Kluyveromyces lactis: one gene and its partners. The protein of the gene in region 1 purifies or fractionates together with the protein of each later gene. This does not show direct contact. Links are inferred from orthologs where the notes say so. Each region holds a gene or a part of one and is shown on either strand. Other genes may lie near its edges. The genes, in order: SEC21, COP1, GLO3 and SEC28.

Evidence for each region.
Region 2: the proteins of SEC21 (region 1) and COP1 purify together in Saccharomyces cerevisiae (affinity purification with mass spectrometry; 8 studies listed by BioGRID). This does not show direct contact. The link is inferred for Kluyveromyces lactis from reciprocal best matches to the Saccharomyces cerevisiae genes SEC21 and COP1.
Region 3: the proteins of SEC21 (region 1) and GLO3 purify together in Saccharomyces cerevisiae (affinity purification with mass spectrometry; 5 studies listed by BioGRID, with this or other methods). This does not show direct contact. The link is inferred for Kluyveromyces lactis from reciprocal best matches to the Saccharomyces cerevisiae genes SEC21 and GLO3.
Region 4: the proteins of SEC21 (region 1) and SEC28 purify together in Saccharomyces cerevisiae (affinity purification with mass spectrometry; 5 studies listed by BioGRID). This does not show direct contact. The link is inferred for Kluyveromyces lactis from reciprocal best matches to the Saccharomyces cerevisiae genes SEC21 and SEC28.

What each region holds. Positions count from the first base shown.
Region 1 is NC_006041.1:1,171,981-1,178,013, forward strand, and holds SEC21 (coatomer subunit gamma), read left to right. Parts: upstream 1-2,526; coding exon 2,527-5,361; downstream 5,362-6,033. Other genes in the region: CCR4-NOT core subunit CAF40, read left to right, coding at 976-2,241; NPC2 (sterol transporter), read left to right, coding at 5,821-6,033. UniProt on the Saccharomyces cerevisiae protein: The coatomer is a cytosolic protein complex that binds to dilysine motifs and reversibly associates with Golgi non-clathrin-coated vesicles, which further mediate biosynthetic protein transport from the ER, via the Golgi up to the trans Golgi network.
Region 2 is NC_006042.1:478,104-483,880, reverse strand, and holds the start of COP1 (coatomer subunit alpha), read left to right. Parts: upstream 1-2,198; coding exon 2,199-5,777. Other genes in the region: CRR1 (putative glycosylase), read left to right, coding at 208-1,698. UniProt on the Saccharomyces cerevisiae protein: The coatomer is a cytosolic protein complex that binds to dilysine motifs and reversibly associates with Golgi non-clathrin-coated vesicles, which further mediate biosynthetic protein transport from the ER, via the Golgi up to the trans Golgi network.
Region 3 is NC_006041.1:615,088-620,333, forward strand, and holds GLO3 (ADP-ribosylation factor GTPase-activating protein), read left to right. Parts: upstream 1-3,043; coding exon 3,044-4,591; downstream 4,592-5,246. Other genes in the region: MRX3 (Mrx3p), read left to right, coding at 1,616-2,365. UniProt on the Saccharomyces cerevisiae protein: GTPase-activating protein for the ADP ribosylation factor (ARF) family. Involved in retrograde vesicular transport from the Golgi to the endoplasmic reticulum.
Region 4 is NC_006039.1:797,160-801,928, forward strand, and holds SEC28 (coatomer subunit epsilon), read left to right. Parts: upstream 1-2,660; coding exon 2,661-3,542; downstream 3,543-4,769. Other genes in the region: ATP23 (putative metalloprotease), read left to right, coding at 1-128; ARE2 (sterol acyltransferase), read right to left, coding at 263-2,050; GET complex subunit GET2, read left to right, coding at 3,853-4,769. UniProt on the Saccharomyces cerevisiae protein: The coatomer is a cytosolic protein complex that binds to dilysine motifs and reversibly associates with Golgi non-clathrin-coated vesicles, which further mediate biosynthetic protein transport from the ER, via the Golgi up to the trans Golgi network.

The DNA of each region.
Region 1 (6,033 bases):
AAACGCATCAATCAAATGAAAATCAAAAACAACAATTTGGACCGCATATTCACTTAAAATGCAGTAGCAGCGGAGGGCGCGTTCTAAAAGTAGGAAACGTCTACGCTACTTTAGGATTAGCCCTCTGGACCGTGTAATGTAATGTCATACCACTTCCATGTCCGAGTGAATGTCCGTGTCTCGGTGCTGGGATGATCCCTGAGATCCCTTGCCCTCGCTCTAATACCGGACTCCCAGTTTCACACATATAAATAGAGGAAAACAAAGTTTAAGATGCGATGCCTTTTCCCATACCATTGGCGGTTGTTTTTGGGATAATTTTAATTGTTCTGTCTGACATATTTTAAAACAGCAAGAAACAACAACTAAGTAACACATACAGTTAACAATGTCTGACAAGATCGAAGAACAAAGAGAAGCTATCCAAGATAAGGTTGAAGAAGTTCAACAAAATGCTGAGGAAACTGCTCAAGAAGCTCAACAACAAGCTGAAGAGACTCAAGAACAAGCTCAAGCTAAGGCTGAGGAAACTCAAGAACAAGCTCAAGCCAAAGCTGAAGATGTCAAGAAGGAATCTCAATCTTTTTCCAAGAAATGGTTGGGTAAGTTGAAGAAGTTGTTTAACTAAAGTTAAAATAAAAACAAAAAAAGCTTCCGCTTTTTTTATTTTATTTTTAATCAACTATTAAAGTAATTCTAACATTCCAAATTATAATCTTAACCCCATTCTCCTCTATTATTATTCCTACTATCACCAACTTAATATACATCTTTATATATTGTCTAATACTTAATAATTAATATGCTTCTTCTTTTATTCAGTGTTTCGTCATATTGAACAATGTCTGGGCGTGTTTTGTTTTGTGTTTAAACTTTCGTTGTCTTATTACCCGGATTTCATAACAACCTCAGTTTCCACAACTTAGCACATCTTTTCAACTTAAAAGTGTTGATAATTCGCATCTCTGTATATATATGGTATGTAGAATAGGCAATATTCAGCATTGTCTCAGGGAAGGACACATCATCCAGCTTGTGCATCAGGTAGAACACCCGCAATTATCATCTGCCATGTTTCAACAGCAACCCCAGGCTCAAGCGGCTCAAGCTCAGGGGAATGTGTTCTCGGAACAAACCCGCAGGAAATATTTCCCACAATTGAAACCTTACTTCCCAAATAACCAAGGCCAGGGTCAAGGCCAGCCTCAAGGGCAGGCTCAGGGTCAAAATCAAACCCAGGGCCAACAGCAACAACAGCAACCCCAAAATATGCCTCCTGGTTTGCAACAAGGAATGCCCCACCCAGTAGTAGAAAACAACCAACTTCCAGGTCAGATGCCTGGGATGGGCCAAGGGCCAACTGCAGGACCAAGTTCAGTTCCTGGGCCAGGTCCCACACCAGCAGGAATAACACATGCGCTAGATGATCCAAATGTCTACCATTGGATATGCCAGCTCACTTACGGGCCAAGCAAAGAACAAGCGCTTCTAGAACTAGGTAAGAAACGTGAACAGTATGAGGATTTGGCTATCGTGCTGTGGTCCAGTTTCGGTGTGATGACGTCGTTGCTAAAGGAAATAATTTCAATTTATCCGCTTCTTTCACCTCCTGCATTATCAAACCAGTTATCAAACCGCGTATGCAACGCTTTGGTGCTCTTACAATGTGTCGCATCACACCCAGATATCAGGCCTCAATTCTTACAGGCTCACATCCCGTTGTTCCTTTTCCCATTCTTATCTACGACATCAAACCAAAGAACTTTTGAATATTTAAGGCTAACTTCACTAGGTGTCATCGGTGCTCTAGTGAAAAACGATTCTGCAGAAGTGATCAGTTTCCTTCTAAGGACAGATATTATCCCATTATGTTTAAGAATCATGGAAAACTCTTCAGAACTTTCGAAGATCGTCGCTATCTTCATCTTACAGAAAATATTATTAGACGATAACGGACTCCAGTTCGTATGCGCGACCCCAGAACGGTTCTACGCGGTGTCACAAGTTTTGGCAACTATGTTTAAGCACATGTCCCAACAACAGGTGCCGGGAAGATTATTGAAACATGTTGTAAGATGCTACCTAAGATTATCGGATAATTTAGAAGCCAGAAGATTGTTGAAACAAGTTTTGCCGCAACAACTAAGAGATAACACCTTCAATGAAGCACTACAGGACGATGTAGGTACCAAGAGATGTCTTGCACAACTACTCCTGACTCTAGATGAACAGCAGCAGTGATCTTGCCTGCTATATCATATATATCTCCATATCCATATATATATATATATATACATATATATCATAATTAAAAAACAAGTGTTACCCTCACTTTCACACACCCGCTTCACTTTTTTTTTCATTCCAAAGGACTTCTACCGATTTGCAAACTGAAAACATTATGAATATAAATATATACCATACCACACGGCAAAAAGAATTGGATAAAACACGAGGTTAATAGGCTCAAAATTGGCTACTAAAGGTTAGTACGTCATTTGAAGGTATCCTAGCACTGCCAATTGCATGTCTGCACAAACTTATAAGAAGTCTGAGGACCCACACAGTGGGTCCTTGCCAGACAAAATGGCGATCTATCAGGATTGTTTGAATCGGTTCAATGAATCTCCTGTGAATCCTAAACTGTGCCGTACCCTGATCACAAGCTTGTTGGAACTATTGTCGCATGGTGAGACTTTCCCTAGACAAGAAGCTACTGCTTTATTCTTTTCCATTTCGAAATTGTTCCAACACCCTAACGATTCTTTGAGACAAATCGTTTACGTGGCTATTAAGGAATTGTGTGGAATCTCCGATGATATCTTGATGGCTACTTCTTCAATTATGAAAGATGTTCAAAATGGTTCAGATCTAGTGAAGCCTAATGCTATTAGAGCATTGATCCGTGTCTTGGATGAGTCCACTGCATTTTCTGCAGAAAGATTATTGAAAAATTCGTTGGTTAGCAAACATCCATCTATTTGTTCTGCTTCTTTGGTCAGTTCATACCATTTATTACCAATCGCTGAAACTACGGTGAAGAGATTTGCTAATGAGACTCAGGAAGCCGTTGGTGATTTGAAACAGTTGCCATATCCAGATGAGAACAGTAGATATTATCCAACTACGTCTCATATCTCTCAATACCATGCATTGGGTTTGTTGTACCAATTGAAGAATCACGATAAGATGGCTTTGATCAAATTGATCCAACAGTTTGCCGGTCATTCTTCACCATTGAAAAATCAATTGGCTCAAGTACAAATGGTTAAATTCGTGCACCAATTGGTTTTGAAGGATCCTAACTCCATCCCCCAGTTCTTACCACTAATAGCTAATTGGTTGCAAAGCAGACACGAGGCTGTTGCTTTGGAAGCTTGTAAGCTTACTGCGTCTCTATCCAACTTGGTTCCTAACGATTTGTTTGCAGCAGCGGTTTCTGTCTTGCAAGGATTCTTGTCCACTCCTCGTGTGACAACCAGATTTGCTGCAGTGCGTTTGTTGAACAAGATTTCTATGGTTTCACCAGAGAAAATTGTGGTATGTAATCCACAATTGGAATCTCTTGTTAACGATAGCAACAGAAACATTTCCACTTACACAATCACTACCTTGTTGAAGACTGGTACCGACAAGAACATTGGTTCTTTGATTAAGACAATTACCAAGTTCATCCACGAGGTGAATGACGATTTCAAGATCATCATTATTGATGCTATTAGAACTCTTTCTCTAAATTTCCCTGAGGAATGTGATACAATATTACATTTCTTGATGGAATCCTTACAATCTGCCGAAGGCAGTCTTCAATTCAAAAATAGTGTCGTGGAAGCATTAATTGATTTAATTCAATTCGTCCCACAATCTAAGGAAAAAGCTTTAGAAGAATTATGTGATTTCATCGAAGATTGTGAATATAATGAAATATTGGTTAGAATCTTACATCTATTGGGTAAGGAGGGTCCAACCACTAAGAACCCGTCATTATACGTGAGACACATTTACAATAGAGTTATTCTAGAGAATTCTATCATCAGATCTGCTGCTGTGTTGTCTCTTTCCAAATTTGCACTTGTTAAGAATGACCCTGAGTTAGTAGAAAGTATTGAACAGCTATTGACTCAAATCAAGACTGATTCAGATGATGAAGTTAGAGATAGAGCATCCATTGCTTTGCAATTCATCGATTCGGTTAAGTCCAAGAAAGATGTTTCCAATATCGCACAAAATTTCATTCGCCCAACTTCTACCTATGACGTTGTTGCTCTTGAATCAAAACTATCACACTATTTGTCACAAGGCCAAGAGGCATTCAAGACTCCATTTGACGTCTCGTCAGTTGCCAAATACTCCGAAGACGAGAAGAAGGCATTGGATTTGAAACGCAGACAAGAGCAAGCCTTCAACCATACAGAAGAATCTTCCAACAGTGGTGCCGGAAATGGTAACGGTACTGAAAAGGGTGGTAGAAAGGGTGATAGATTGGATGACAATAGCTTCAATGGACCTTCATTGGAATCTGAAGAAGAAGATTTGCTATTGTCCAAATACGTGGATGAAATGTCCTCCTTGGAACAATTCCAGTCCTTTGGCAAGTGTATCCATTCTTCCAAGATTGTCCCATTAACGGAAATTGAAGCTGAATTCGTTGTGAAGGGTATCAAGCATTTGTTTGACGAGCACGTTGTATTACAATTCCATATCACTAACACATTGAAGGACGTTGCGCTTGATAACGTTGAAGTGGTATGCCAACAAGAAGGATTATCAGAGGGTTTACTTGACGAACAAGAGGAATTTGTTTTGCCTATTGAAAGACTCTTACCCAATGAAGGAGAGTCATGTTACGTATCGTTCAAGAAACTAACACAGAACAAGGATGATATCATTGTAGAAAGATTCAGCAACTCGTTGAAATTCCAATCCAAGGAATTAGACCCATCTACCTCTTTGCCATTCGAAGATGACGAAGGGTTCCAAGATGAATACGAATTTGATTCATTGTTCTTGAGTCCCGGTGACTACATGAAACCATCATTCGTAAGCAATTTTGCCACCTCTTTGGAAGAACTACCTTATGAATCCGTCTCTGTCTACAACATTGTCGAAACTAACACACTACAAGAAGTCATCGACAAGTTAGTCATTAGCGCTGGTGGTTTACCTTTGGAAAACTCACAAATAGTATCCCACGATGCCACCCAACATACTCTAAAACTTTCAGGAAAATGTATCTTAGACAACACTAAAGCCCTGCTTTCCATCAAGATGATCAAGACAAGTAAGGGTATTGCAATTAAGGCTCTAGTGAAATCCGACAAGGAATCGTTGGCAGAAGACTTATCAAACAACTTGATATAATATATGTACATTTGAAAACAAAAAAAAAACCTATATATATATATATCTATCTAAGATAGCAACATAAGTATTTCTCAGCCGTAAATATAACGAAGTTCTCAGTCTGATAATCGTATTTCAGCCGCTCGTTGTTCACCCCTTATCCTTTAGACCTTATCTGAGACTTCGAGATGAGAAAGTCACAATTTTAAAGGTTTGTTGGAATTCGAAACATTTTGTTTACATCACGCATGGGAAACAACAAAAAGGAAAGGGAAAGAAAGATAAAGCAAGAGCAACAGTTCAGCCTTTACAAGTTATATACCTGCTCATAGACCAATTCAAGATCTTTAAGATATCTACAAGGACTCACTAAGGCCTCTCGTTATTATATCAAGTCCTGAAACCTTCATAAACAAAAAAAAGAAAAGCTAAAGCAAACTCCCCTTATCTCTAAAACACCCTGATTGAACCACCAAGATGCGTTTTTCTGTTGTAACCAGTTACTTATTATGCGCTGCTGCATCGTACGCTAATGCAGCTTCTTTATTCGGATTAAGTTTCCCAGAACCACCATCAGCGAACAAACCGATCCCTGGTGACTCTCCTTTATTGCAATGTGATGTTGACCAATCTCAATCGCTTGATGTTACTCAAGTAAACTTGGTCCCCAACCCACCACAAAGAGGTGAG
Region 2 (5,777 bases), on another chromosome or scaffold:
CAGATTGTCGCACGTCAAATTATGAGAAATCAAGCCAACCTATAAAAGCAGAAGGAGAAGGATCTAAAAATCACGACTATCATGTTCAAGAATTTACATCCGTGATCAATGACACTATCATTGGCAGCTTGTCTTGATCTACTACACCTCAAATTGTATCTGTATTCATAAACAAAAAAAACGCAGAAATTGGTTACTAGCATCGCAATGCTTTCTACTATTTTGTTATGGATTTCCTGTTGCACAATTTCAACTTTAGCACAAGAAGCTACTAGGTATTTCCCAGAAACTCCAATAGGCTGCTCTCTTGAAAATAATTGTCCTGCAGAATGGCCATGTTGCTCACAATTTGGACAATGCGGTACGGGTCCTTTTTGTGTTGGAGGTTGTAACCCAAGATTATCTCACGATCCAGGTAGTTGCTTAGGACAACCAGCATTATTACCACGAATGTCGCCTAGCTTCTGGTTGCAAAGCTCACTGGAGCAAAAACCTGCTCTAAAAAGTAGCTTTCTGCCTAGAGTACAACCCAGTATGGACGTTGCATCGAATGAAGGTGGAGAAAAGGACTTGAATAATAGAGGTATAGTTAATTTCGCTAACTTCCTAATATCACCACAAGAACGAATCATTAAGAAAATGTTAAGAGACTATCATTTCACGTACAGTGGATTTGTTAAATACGATGCACCTGGTCAATTGACTCTTGCTATGCCTAAACATACTTCGGGAAGTTTAATATCATCCACAAGATCTTTTCTATACGGTAGAGCTACCGTAAAAATGAAAACAGCTAGAGGTCGCGGAGTTGTTACTGCAGTGGTATTAATTTCAACTGTAGGTGATGAAATTGATTTTGAATTTATTGGAGGAGAATTACATCATGCTCAATCTAATTATTATCACCAAGGTGAATTAAATCACACAAGGATGGAAAAGCTAGAACTAAGTTCTGACAGTTTTGAAAATACTCATATTTACGAAGTCGATTGGGACCAAGATAGAATCAACTGGATTGTGGACGGTGTAGTAGCTAGAACATTATACAAGGAAGATACATGGAATGAGGAAAAACAAAGATACGAATATCCACAAACACCAATGAGATTGCAAGTGTCGGTGTGGCCAGGTGGAAGAGAAGATGCTGACCCTGGTACCATAATGTGGGCTGGAGGGCTCATTGATTGGGAAAACTCGCCCGATATACTTGAGAAGGGTCAATTTTATGCAACTGTGGAATCAATAGCCGTTACACCTTACGAAAACAAATTCTGGCCATCAATAGTTGATGAACTAGAAAGATTACATTTACCTATTGATGCTAATTCATTGTTAGATATTACTTACGATTACAATTATGACAAGTTTAATGAGCATACGTGGTTTGAAGATTCAGTCATTTGGAAGAAGGGCAAATTACCTTATTTATCTTCCTTGGACAAGAATGGCCTAAATCCGGGAAGACAGCAACAAAGTCTTTTGGTAGGTAAACAATTGAAGCAAGAGCAGGGAGATGGGCCGGATCAGAGTCCTTCAAACAGGTTTATTCAAGACACTAATAAACCATCGGAAAAAAATCATGAAGAACAAGATTTGCTCCTACGAAACGCTCTGCAGTCACGCGATGCTACCACAAATGGGGGTTCCAGTCACAATAACAGAAATCCTATCAAAAGATTGCTTAATATGCTACATTAATCAGTAAAGGTTGCCCAGATGTTCACATCTACACTATACATGTATAGATATATAGACCTATGTATACCACTCTCGTATATGCTATCTCTTCTAGCATTCTCTTACGCATAGAATCTGTAGAGATGCGTCTGGCACAAATTCGGGTAATTATTACCCTACCATTACGTCCTTTGCATACTCTTCGGATTCTTCCAATTTTCAAAAAGGACAACTTTTCAAATAAAACACGATCTTATTTCAAAATAGTAAGCCATATGTGTATTTTAAGTAATTTTATGAACCTTGAATGAAGCTGACTTTGGCTAATAAACAACGATCAAGGTACTTTGTCGTCTAATTGAGTTGTCAGTGAGGACTAACCATCGAAGGAAAGCTTCAATCGTAACCAATTGGTATATTGTTAACTGCAATTGTGACGTTTTCTTCCGAGTTATTCTTCTTATATTTCTCACAGTTTTTACTCAGATTTAGATCGAAGTCTTGAAAAGCTTGCTTTCATCATGAAGATGTTAACTAAGTTCGAATCAAAGTCTACCAGGGCGAAAGGTATTGCTTTTCATCCGTCTAGGCCTTGGGTTCTGGTAGCACTTTTCTCATCAACCATCCAATTATGGGATTACCGTATGGGTGTTTTGCTTCACCGTTTTGAAGATCATGAGGGTCCGGTACGTGGCATTGATTTCCATCCAACGCAACCTCTTTTCGTTTCTGCAGGTGATGATTATACTATCAAAGTATGGTCTTTAGAGAGCAACAAGTGTCTATTCACATTGGACGGCCATTTAGACTATGTTCGTACAGTATTCTTCCATCACGAATTGCCATGGATTATTTCCAGTTCCGACGATCAAACCATCAGAATCTGGAACTGGCAGAACAGAAAGGAAATAGCATGTTTAACTGGCCATAACCACTTCGTAATGTGTGCCCAATTCCATCCAGTCGAAGATTTGGTGGTTTCTGCTTCTTTGGATGAAACCGTTAGAGTTTGGGATATTTCAGGGCTAAGAAAAAGACATTCCGCACCAGGCACTCAATCATTCGAAGAACAAATGAGACAGCAACAGAACTTACTTGACGGAGGATTTGGAGATTGTGTGGTGAAGTTCATTTTAGAAGGCCACACTAGAGGAGTAAATTGGGCTTCTTTCCATCCAACTTTACCATTGATCGTTTCCGGTTCTGATGATCGTCAAGTGAAATTGTGGAGAATGAGTGCCACAAAGGCATGGGAGGTCGATACTTGTAGAGGTCATACCAACAACGTTGATTCCGTCATTTTCCATCCTCAACAGAATCTCATTATATCAGTTGGTGAGGATAAAACCGTAAGAGTATGGGACTTGGACAAGCGTACTCCAATTAAACAGTTCAAAAGAGAAAATGACAGATTCTGGTTAGTGAGAGCTCACCCAAACCTAAATCTGTTCGGTGCTGCTCATGATTCTGGTATTATGATCTTTAAGTTGGACCGTGAAAGACCACCAACTGCTATAAACCAAAATCAGTTGTTCTTTATCAACAGGGAGAAACAAGTCCAAATGTTTGATTACCACAAGAGAATCACTTCTCTACCTTATCTTTCTTTGAAAAACATCGGCAAGACCTGGAGTTCATTTAGAAGTATGTCTTATAACCCATCCCAACATTCCGTCCTTGTCAACTCCTCCGAAAAGGAAGCCAACAGGTTCAGCTTATGTGTCTTACCTAAACAACCTAGTGGAGCTGTTGAAGCTAGCAACGTCATCTCTGATGATGGTAGTTTTGCGATCTTCGTTGCTCGTAACAGATTTGTGGTGCACAATGGCAGCACTAATAGCTTGGAGGTTCGTAGTTTAGATAACAAAACCACAAAGTCAATCAAATTAACTGATACTGTTAAAGACATCACATTAGCTGCTCCTGGTACTGTTTTGATTCTATATTCTCATTCTGTGGTAATGATGGACGTCCAACAAGGTAAAATTCTTCATGAATTATCTTTAAAGAACATCAAGTATACAGTGTGGTCTCAAGATGGCCAATATGTTGCATTGATGAGTAAGCATACATTGACAATCGCAAACAGAAAACTGGAAATCGTTACATCAAACCATGAAAGTATTAGAATCAAGAGTGCAAGTTGGGATGAAACCGGTGTCCTAATTTATTCAACATTGAACCATATCAAATACTGTCTATTGAATGGTGATTCTGGTATCATTAAAACCTTAGAAAGAACATTATACATCAACAAGGTACATGGCAAATTTGTCTATGCTTTGAATCGTGAAGGGGAAGTAGAGATTTTGACAATTGATCCTACTGAATATCGTTTCAAGAAGACTTTAGTCAACAAAAATTTCCCTGAGGTATTGCGTATCATTAAAAATTCAAATTTAGTTGGTCAAAACATCATATCTTATCTTCAAAAATCAGGCTATCCTGAAATTGCGTTACAATTCGTGGAGGATCCTCAAACAAGATTTGATTTGGCTACACAATACGGTAATTTGACAGTTGCTCTTGAAGAAGCTGAGAAATTGAACAATGAACTTGTATGGGAAAGATTGGGCAAAGAAGCTTTGATCCAAGGTAACACAGATATCGCTGAATTGGTATATCAAAACACTAAGCAGTTTGATAAACTGTCTTTCCTATATCTACTTAAGGGAGACAACTCCAAACTGGCAAAAATGGAGTCTATTGCTGAACATAGATCAGATATTTCCGGCTTGATTCAAAATACCTTTTACAATAACTCAGTTCAGAAGCGTGCAAATGTCTTTTTAAATGCAGGCTCTGCTCCTTTGGCTTATGCAGTGGCAAAAGCTAACGGCGACGATGACCTTGCCACTTCCATTTTGGAATCCGAAGAAATTGATGAGCAAGACATTTCCCTACCAACTGAACTCAACTCCTCCACAAATGTAAAAACCCCTGTCATTTCTGCTCCTTTGAAAAACTGGCCGTTAAAGCAAGCTGAAGTCTCATTCTTTGAAAAAGCCCTTTTGGGCCAAATCGAAGATCTTGAAATTTCTGATGATAAGGAAGAAAATGTTTCAGATACTACCCAAAATGTTGGCCAGTTTGATTTAGGAGAACAAGATAACCTAGACTTTGATGATGAAGCTGTTGGAGAGGAAGAAGATGCTTGGGACCTAGACCAAAATGATTTGGAATTAGACGACGAGTTAGAGATCGAAGAATCCGAAGTGACTGAAGAACAAGTAGATGAATCAGAATTGCCAATGTGGGTTAAAAATTCAAAGCTTCCAGCAGTTCTAGTAGCCGCTGGAGCCTTTGATGCTGCTGCCCAAGCCTTGAATAAGCAGGTAGCCGTTGTAAACTTCGAACCCCTCAGGACACCATTCATTGATATATACGATGGTGCAAGAACTTATATGAGTGCTACACCAAATGAATTACCTTCAATTATTGGATACATCCGAGCTGATGCCGATGAGGAGGACAAATCTAAAATACTACCATTTGTTCCTGGCGTTTCTGTAGTCACCACGAAGTTGAACGAGGGATTCAAAGCATTTAAGGCTAACAAATTGGAAGTTGCTATCGAGCACTTCCGAGACGTTATCTATGCCATAGCTTTGTTAGCAGTTACTGACAAAGAAGATGAAACAACAGCACAAACTGCACTTGCAACTGCTCGTGAATACATCTTAGGTCTTTCTATGGAGCTAGAACGTCGTGCTCTACCTGCCAATGACGTTAAGCGTAACCTGGAATTGGCAGCATACTTCAGCAGGACAAAACTTCTACCTGTGCATAGAAGTAATGCTTTGAATGTTGCTATGACCCAATCATTCAAAAACAAGAACTTTGTATTAGCATCCTATTTCGCAGGCGAATTCCTCAAGATTATTACATCAGGTGCCCGTGCTGACCAAGCTCAGAAAATCAAAGCAAAGGCTGATTCGATGGCATATGATGCCATCGAGATTGATTTCGATCCTTATGCTGAATTTGATATCTGTGCAGCTTCACATACCCCAATTTACAAAGGATCGCCATCTGTAGCAGATCCTTTAACTGGGGCGAACTATCACGTTTCTGAGAAGGGAAAGATTGATCGCATTGCT
Region 3 (5,246 bases), about 560 kb from region 1:
ACTATATGAGGATAAACCCTCTCAAAACTATTATAGGTTTTTGGTTGTTATGAACCTTTTTTATATGGGAGGAAGATCATGGAAAAATATTTGACGTAAAAGTATTAACAGCCATGACAACACGATCTTTGAGAAAAGTATATACTTCAGAGCCTACTTATATATACTGTCTTTCAATTCAGGTTCTCCGTGAAGCCGTGTAAATAACATAGCTAACGTTGACGGAAGTAATCCAGTTTTCATTTTGCAGTGGTGTTAAGCGCTACCGGCTACTAACAGGGACTAATAATAGTCTCCAACGCAAAAATGAATCAAAAAAAATTCAATCACTATTTGCTTGCAGTAGCGAGACGATCCAAGCAAAAGCCAGAGATGAAAGGAGCCGGACTATACTACTGCCTTTGCTTGAATGAATAGAGTCAGCCTAAGTGAATATTAAGGTTGTTTTTTAAGCAGACTCCCAGTTTCATAAAAGGAAATCACGGCAAAATACACGAACCGCATAGGAAAAAAAAAAGAAAATGAAACTAAATTACGTATTAGAAACACCTAATCAGGTGGGAAATAATCCAGCGCACCAGCGATCTTCTTCGAGAGCTAAGGAGGAATTATGGCTGGTTATGAGAAGATGAGGCTGCAATAGCCCAGCCCACGCGAATGGGCTGAAACGCAACCGTCGATTATGTCGAAGGCTGGAGCAACGGAGATACTATTGCTATGATTCCATAGTAGTTCGAGCATTCAAGATCAGATGAGTTTCGAGTCTTCATGAACAAAGAGCAAACTAAATATGCGGACTTGTAAACTTACAGTAAGAAAGCCGCAGTAGATTTTGCCAGTGGTCCTCGATGATATATATCATTTTTCCATGGCTGGAATAATTGGAACCAAAAGGAAAATACCCTTGCCTCAAATTTCCCCGCAGCATATATTTTTGTTTATTTCCAGTAGCAATTTATTTTCAAAGCACTCCCAGCCAGTTTTGTATGTAACTTGTATACTTGTAGCAAAAAATAATATGTTCCGAAGAAAAAACGAGAAAAAAAAAAAAAAAAGATGGAAAAAAAAGATGATCAAGAAATTAGAAAACATTGTTCAGAACTAGAGGTATCTCTAGTACTGTTGGGATGAATTTTTGGCGGAAAACTCGAATTCGAATGTAGTGAGGATACGGATCAGATACTGGATATGGATTTGGGCTAGGCAATTGCAATTTTCATTCACGCCGCTTTTCAAACAATTCATGTGGGGGGAGGACAATATTATTTTCCCCACAGGAAAAGTGGAAAACCGGAAAAGAAATGCGGGATGACGAATTAATGGATATTTACCCGGTGTACTGGGAATGATAGATCACGTGGTTAGAAACACTCTGGTGCGTGTTGTTTTTTTTGTCCACCTCACCTCTCTCTACTCCGCTCCACCTAGGTCTAAAAACAATAATTATCAAAGTCTGGAATGGTTTAGGGTAGGGTAGGGTAGGAACTATCCGAAAGGTTTAAATGGTTAGCATCAAGCATTGCTCCAGAAGTAACTGATTATACCTGGCGTGTTTGAGAGAATATCCCGAAGCAAGTTTTCCAAGTTTGAGAGTTTTGTTTTCAGTGGTCGAATTATGAGCGGGAAGATTTCCAGGTACGTTATTTTACCCTTAACGGGGTTCACATTGGGCTTCGGATATTTCGTTAAGCCATGGCATTTGGATGAATCAGCACTACAAACGTTACATAGACCGCTACAGGACCAACGGACCGATGTATTGGATAAACTTAGGGCCACAGAATGGGTCAAGAAACTTAAAGAGTCGTCTGATTATATGATGCATCGTCAATCGGAGAAGATCCCTGTACCTCATAGAGATTATCACGTAGGTCAAGGGTTGCTTTACGGACCAACTAAGCTTGAAATTGATCCGGTGGTGTTTACAGATAATGCACAGAACAAGATCCACGTCATATATCATTTGGGCCACAATTTAGGCAACGAAAAGAATGCAGTGCATAAAGGTGTACTTTCATTGCTATTAGACGAGGCTTTGTGTTTCTGCGGGTTCCCTACACTTCCCAGTAAGCGTGGAGTCACTGCATCTCTAGACATATCGTTCCAGAAGGATGTTCCAGTTAATTCCACCATTGTGCTCAACGCCCAGGTCATTGAAACCAAGGGAAGAAAATGTATCATTACAGGAACGTTGGAATCACCACCTCTTGATCCTTCTACGAAACTGGGATCCGTAAAGTCCTTAGTGGCTAAGAGCGTACCCAATTGGATATACAACCCTAAACCGACCGTCTACGCTACTGCAACGTGTATTTTGGTGGAACCTAAATGGTTTAAATACGTTTCATGGATTAACATATTCTGATCTAATACCACCTTAAGGTCTCCGTTATATATGCCAATAATATTATATTTAGTTCACATACTACAACATTCAATATTAAGTATACCATATGCTAGCATTGTACTGGTGCTCGGACATGATGAATACCAGTTAATTCATCATCCCATTCCCACTATTGTATTGTTTGGTCCGGGTAATAATAATACAGACTATTCATATCTGCTATTTTCTTTGACATCTTTAAATTGAAAGATCGAATTTCTAAACAGAAAAGGTTTTAACACAGGACAGAACGGTTATTCAAATTTTGGACCGTTAAGGAACGTAGTTTTTGGTCTTAGTTAAGTTTTTTACACTGCTGGTAACATCATAACAGGTGCAACAGACTACTGTACACACTTTGAGCGCGGGAGGGACACGCCGAACTTACAGAAGTATTTTTCGCAAGTTATTATTAAGGTGGTAAGAAAGCGTGTTATTAAGTACTCTGTTTTCTAAAATTGATACTTAAGAGTTTTTTCTTGCGATTGATCTAGCTTTTGAGATACGATCTGAATTTACCAGGATAATCTGCTACAGGAACGTGAATCTTTATTGCCGTATCTTAGCATCAACTTATTAACTTAACACAAGGGTGTTTTTTTTTCCGGAATTTCAGCATTTCATTATCATTACAAGAGGATTTATTTTAATTAAACCATGGCTAGCATTGACGAATCGGGAGAAGTGTACTGTGACAAGGAAGTCGTGACTAAAGTGTTTGCTAGACTGACAACCAAGTCTGAAAACAGGGCATGCTTCGACTGTGGCGCCAAAAATCCTACCTGGACTTCAGTTCCGTTCGGTGTTCTTCTTTGCATCGATTGTTCCGGTGAGCACAGAAATATGGGTACCCATATTACTTTTGTGAAGTCAAGTAATTTGGACAAATGGACTGTCAACAATTTGAGAAGGTTCAAACTTGGTGGTAACGATAAGGCAAAGGATTTTTTCTTAAAGAACAACGGCAAACAATATTTGGGTTCTTCTAGCAACCGGATGGCTAAATATACAAGCCAGGTAGCCAAGAAATGGCAGAGCCATTTGAATCAAAAAGTGGCTAGAGACGCTGAACAACATCCAGGTGAAATTGTATTTTCAGCAGAAGATGAACAAGAATTCACAGGGGGCAGTTCTGGTTCTTCAAAGAGCAACAGCGTTGATGATTTCTTCTCAAACTGGGAAAAGCCTGTAAACCAAAGTAACATATCTTTGACGTCATCTCCTAGAAATTTAACACCAACCAATACTGGCAATAGGAATGGTTCTTCTATTCTGTCCGGAAGTGGTTCTGCCAACAAAACCAGCAACGGTGCTAGATCCACTACAACTAAGAGAACTACTTTGACAGGATCAGCAGGCTCTTCTCAAGCAAAGAAACATTCCATCCTTTCCTCCTCTCGTAAGTCAAAGAAACCGGTTGCAGCCAAGAAGGTGGATGCTGATTTGTTTGATCAATTCGAAAAAGAAGCCAAGGAAGAGGAAGAATTGGCCTCAAGTCTCGCCACCACTTCCCTTAACTCCAATAATTTATCGAATTCCATATACGATGCCACTCCTGCGCCATTCCAACAAAAATCTGGTTTCAGCTCTAGCAGCAAAATAACCAAGCCATCTACCAATGTCGAAGACGCGGAGGACGACGAATGGTCCAACAGATACAATGATGGTATTACTTTCGATCAAATCAATGCTTCCAATGTAGGATTAACTGGAAGCAAAGATGCGGCAAAACCAAAGTTGGCTAAACTTGGGTTTGGTATGACTTCCAATAATGCAGAAAAGGAACAAAACAAAACTAACGAATCAAGGAGGGCTGCCTCTGGTCCAAAGTACACAGGTAAGATTGCCCAAAAATTCGGAGAACAAAAGGGTATCTCTTCAGACCAGGTGTTTTCTCGTGGAAGCTACGATGACGAGGCAAGTAAAGAAGCTCAAGAAAAACTCAGACAGAACTTCAGTAATGCCACATCTATTTCTTCAGCCTCATACTTTGGCGAAGGCCAGAGCGAAGATCAGTTCGACGAATTTGGAAGACCATTGAATCCACAAAATGGAACAAGAACAAACAGAAGCGGTTCTCTTGGCGGACGAAACTTCATGGAGTTCACGTCTGGTGCTGATGACGAATTTGACCTGTTGAAGAACGCTGTTGAACAAGGAGCGCAAAAGCTAGGAAACTACCTAAGAGATTACATGAGAAATTAATTCCTATGTTAGTTTATTGTAAGATAAAGTATAGTCATTCATCAAGGAGTTAACGTTAATAGTATCAGTGCCATAAGTTCCCCATAAGTTCCCTTCTATGAAAAAAAATCTGAACAAAACTTTATGGCTTTATTGTAATAGAAACAAATAAACAAATAGATGAAAGCTTGTCCTTAATAGGATACCCTTTTCAGTCACACATCTCTTCGTTGTACCATAATATGAATACCGCCATTATTTGGATAATAATAAATATAGGATCATTCCAAACACCCAGTGTGTAGTCAGAGTTTGAGATTTTTCAACACACCTACATTTTCCAAGGAATACCAAGTGTCTATTGTGCTTTACGTATTATTTAATGATTATTTAGTAGCTTGAGTAGCGAAATAAGGATTATGCAATCCAGTGATCATGACAATTATTGATTAAGTAGCATTTAGAAAGTTGATTTAAAGAATGATATGTTCTTGAAAGACAAGAAGATTAAGGTCGATTCGAAGTAAGATATTAACGCGTAGTCATGGGCCATAAACAAATCTTGTCATGTCGGAGGTATATCTCGTGTACAGTTCGAGAAGAAAGAGGTGAAGAAAGGAGTAAATGAAAGTCCTGCTGAACCGAAATACTAGCAACACTAGCGGTATCAGTGGAA
Region 4 (4,769 bases), on another chromosome or scaffold:
GACGTGCTGCGATCAGCGTTTCAGGAAATCCAAATTGTAGAGATAAAGAACATGCGGAAAGAGTTGTAGATGAAGTCTGGGACTCATGCTTCAATGACACAAGACCATTTGATGAAATATATAGATAAAATTATCCTTGTATTGTAAACTTTTTGACTTTTCTTTTATATAAAAGGTATCTAGATTTACCTTAACCTTGTACATATTTATTCGACGACCATTCATATGAATATTTCATCATTTTGGTTATTCTGCTCCAAAATTAAAAGATCAAGTACAGCAAACCAGTCATACTTGGTCCTAAACAAATCCCAATCCAGAAGGTAACATTATTAAATAGTTTCTTATCTCTGAGCAATGGAATGTTTGATAAAGCTGTAAATGGAATTTGTGACATTTGCAGGATAATGATATAACCACGGAACTTGTTGAAAAGAACAAACATGGCTAGCTCGTGAAACACAGAACTTAATAAAAATGTGAATAAGGTGGCTTGAACTTTACTCATGTGATACGCACTAATCGAACTGTGATATACATGTCTCAATAAAAAGCTATGCACCGGACGATTCCACAATCTGCTAAAATCATACCAGGAGCAACAGTTCCACCAATCAGAGTAGAAATGGTGGTCTGCAAAACAGGACAATTCGGCCACACAGTTTAAAATTGCATCCCAAATCAAATACCAGACCAACAAAAACATCATAATAAAACCTGGTGCCAAGTCCAACAAGAGCTTCGGCCATACCAGGTTCTTTTCCCATAATGTGAGGTTGGCATCTGCCAAAATTTTAGCTTTCAAAATAACAGGCAGCATGAATTGTTGTGCAACAACCATCATGACAAAGATGATACCAAAGATCGCGCAACATTTCTCAAAAACGTAAAACCATCTTATACGTTTTGTGCGTGGGTATTCTATCTGATATACAAGCGTTGGGAACGAAGAAAACTCGAAAAAGTTCTTCACTGAGACATTAAATGGGAACCTGACCGTTGATGATTGAGATCTTATCTCAAACTCACAAAAATCTATTGACTTTTGCAATATATCAAGTTCTGGTTGTGGAGAACTGAGTTTTTTCAGTTTCTTTAGGGTAGATGTTGCATAATCCAACTCTGATGAAATATCCCACAAATAACCATTATAGAAGGAATAAGAATGTATCTTCATCAAATAGACCAATGAATGTAAAAATAAAAATATTTGGGCGATCCAGTTGAAATGGAAGGTCTTTTTTGGTAAGTAGATATTGGAGAATAGAAATACCACCTCATAAACTGAAATAATATCTCTCCCTGTACGTCTCCAACTGATGACATTTTTTCTGCACAAATATTGTATGACGAATGCAAAATAACTAGTCAGGTACATTGCGATATCATATAACGCAACTTTCCAAAGATTCATGGTCATGTATCGCAAGATAATTGACTGTGAAAAATCACCATGTTCCTCGTAATATTGTAATGTCACTTTGCAGATGGTGAACGCAACTGCCATCCAAAATAAGACATAGAATCCAGAAAAGTCTGTTGCTATAGTTTCATTTGCAATTTCAATAGTATTATTGTCATCTATCCTCACCGTATTTGATCTGGCTGTTGCCTTTACTCTAGAATATTTCTCGTCTATTGCTGGCCCATTGAAATGAGATCTAAGCGGATTGTTGACCATCTCATCCATGATACTACCTCTAGAGCCCCAGTCTACATCTCGTGTCATGGACTGCATTTCATTCGTATCCTTCTTATATCTGTTCTTTTCCTTCACCTTCAATTTCTGCATGAAAACATGCAGATGTTTGTCGCCTTGTTCGGAGGTGGTTCTAGTCTTAAAGATAACCGTGTCGTTAGGCTGGACCGTGTTGAAAAGAACGTCCGGAGATCCAAGTTCATCGAGAACAGCATCCTCCAACTGTTCCTCATGCAAAGACTTCCTCTTCCCATGGTTGTTGTCGTTCAGCCTTCTTATCCTCAAGAACTGCTCATCCTCAGTTATATCCTTAACGGTGGTATCATGTGAACTGTCACTTGAACCGGACATTATGACAGGTTTTTAATTAAAGATCCAGTTAAATAAATCTTTTATGATATATTAACGTGGATTGACTCTTCACCATGAAATTAGTCTGAGATAAATCTAGGCCAAGTCGTGATTCGTCTTAAGAAGGAAAAAATTCTTGCTAACCTCTCTCTCTCACTCAGACGTTTTAAATATAAATCTCAAATCCGGAATTAACCAATGGTCGTAAGAAGTGTACTGTTAATTACTGAATCTGTTTCCTTTTCCAACCCGTATCGTTTAAACGTCCAAAGTAACTGGCTCTGAATTTCTTCTGATAAATACTCTCAATCCCTTAAATAAACGCCATATGGTGATCCACACCTTCGAGAATTATTCGAGAAAGGAAAAATACAAAAAAAAAGATCACGTGAATGAAAAACATCCATTACCCTGATCCTGTCAGTTTTTCAGTTTTGGACAATTCGCATGGTGGATCAAAGTAAGATAGCATATGGACTCTCAATATTAAAGGATACGTGTGAGATAGACCCGTTAATGAGCCAGTAAAGTCGCTTTCAATACACGATAACGGTTAATTGAAGTTTTCCGACGTCAGATTTGTTGAGAAAAAAATATCAACTCAGAAGAAATGGACTATTTTACTGTAAAACAGCAGTTTTATACTGGTAACTATGAAGAAGCGTTGAACGAAGTTTCTAAGTTTAACAAAACTGAAGATGAGGCGTTGACTTACTACAGAAATAGATCATTGATTGCATTGTCCCAGTTCAGTGAGGGTAGTGCTGATTCTGGCTCACTTGGGCCTGTATTTGAGGCTTACTATAAATTTTTAAGCAAACCTACAGGCTCAATCACTGCACTAGAACAAACCGTTGAAAAGGCGGGCAGATCTCCATTTGCATTGAACTTATTAGCAAGTGCATTGACTATAAAGGGCGAGTTTAAAACTGCTTTGGAGGTTGCCGTTGAAGGAATTGACTCCGATGAAACAAGAGGAACCCCGGAACTACTGTTAACGGCCATCCAAATAACTTTGTTGGATAATCAACCAACCATTGCCTCGACTATGTTTGAAAATTTCCAAGCACTTCAGGAGCAATCGAACGACGATGAAATAATTTTGAATCTTGCAGAGTCATACATCAACTTCAACCAGGGTAAAGAGATCACTGGATCCAATTTCTATTTCTTTGAAGAGTTGTCTCAAACTTTCCCAAGTTGGAAGACTCAATTAGGCCTATTGAATTTACACCTCCAACAATCGCATTTGCCTGAATCCAAAGCAATCATCGACCTCTTAGAAAGCGAGTTCTACGATATCAAACAAGAAGCACAAACGTACAAGCCTGATCTACTTGCAAATAAGATTACGTACACCATCTTATCTGGTGGAAATGCAAACGAATTGAGATCGGAATTGCAACAATTGAAACCATCTCACCCACTATGTGTTGCCGACCTTGAAAATAACAAGACTTTCGATCAAATTGTGGCAAAGTACACAGCCTAAATCTATATATATCAAATAGATCTTGAGTAGCAAATAGTATTGGTATTGGCGATACTTTCCGGGTAACATTGTTCTTTTTCCCATCAATTTCGTGGGAACTGTCAAGATAAAGCGGATTGATCAAACATCCTATACAATGTGAAGGGTTAGTTTTGAAACCAGTCACTCGGTATCGTTTTACAAGGCACCTGCGTTGTATTTAGTTCGAATATTCAGGGGAGTTGATCTTCTTATTTTGATTGTCGATCTAATTCTACTTTAGTTTCCCCCGAATTGAGCTGTAATTCACACAGAATTTGGAGTTTACAAGATGGCTACTGAATTGTCTGATGCTGAGAAACGTAAATTGTTGAGGGAAAGAAGGCAACAGAAGTTTTCCAACGGAGGTGCTTCCAGCAGGTTGAACAAGATCACTGGTCAACAGCAGAATAGCTTTTTGTCTTCAACATCTGTTCTTGATGAGCCAAAAGTTACTCCGTCAGGTAACAAGAAATCATCCAATGTGAGTGACGAAGAAGTTGAAAAGTCTACCAAAGAGATTCAAGATTTACTTTCTAGTATTCCCGGTAACAAGGACAATTCTGAAACTGATGCCGCTGAAACGAATCCTGAGGTTGCCCTTTTCCAACAGTTGCTTAAGATGCAACAACAAGGTGGAGGATTCCAAAATGGATCACCAGATGCCAGTACACCGGACCTTTTCAGTTCTTTGCTAAACAACGATACGAATACTACTGCTTCTGCTACACAGATGCTCCCTAATTTTGTTGATGAGAAAGTCTTGAAGTATTACAAGTTCAAAGTGTCCAAATTGAAATCCTACATCATTTTAATAAAATGGGCTCTTCTTGCACCATACGTCTACTTTATCATGCATCCCAATCCCACTGTTCTTCAAGCTTCCAACTTGTTATCCCAAATAGTGGAAAGATCGAACTTCTTCTCCATCTTTACCGGACTAGAAATAGTATTCATCTCTATCTACTATCAAATGTTGAAGAAACTTCAAAGAGATAACAATGTTACGGCCACCCAAAACGCAGGAGGCATTTTGAAGTATCTGACAATGATACCAGAAGGCATTTTACCTATTAGGAACATTCAAGGAAAGATCGGTCTTGCATTAGAGTATTTTGACGTAGCGTCAATGTACGTGACAGATATATGCTTTGTTCTTGTGTTATTCGGTGTCATGAAATATTATCATTCGTCATTCCCTATTTCAGT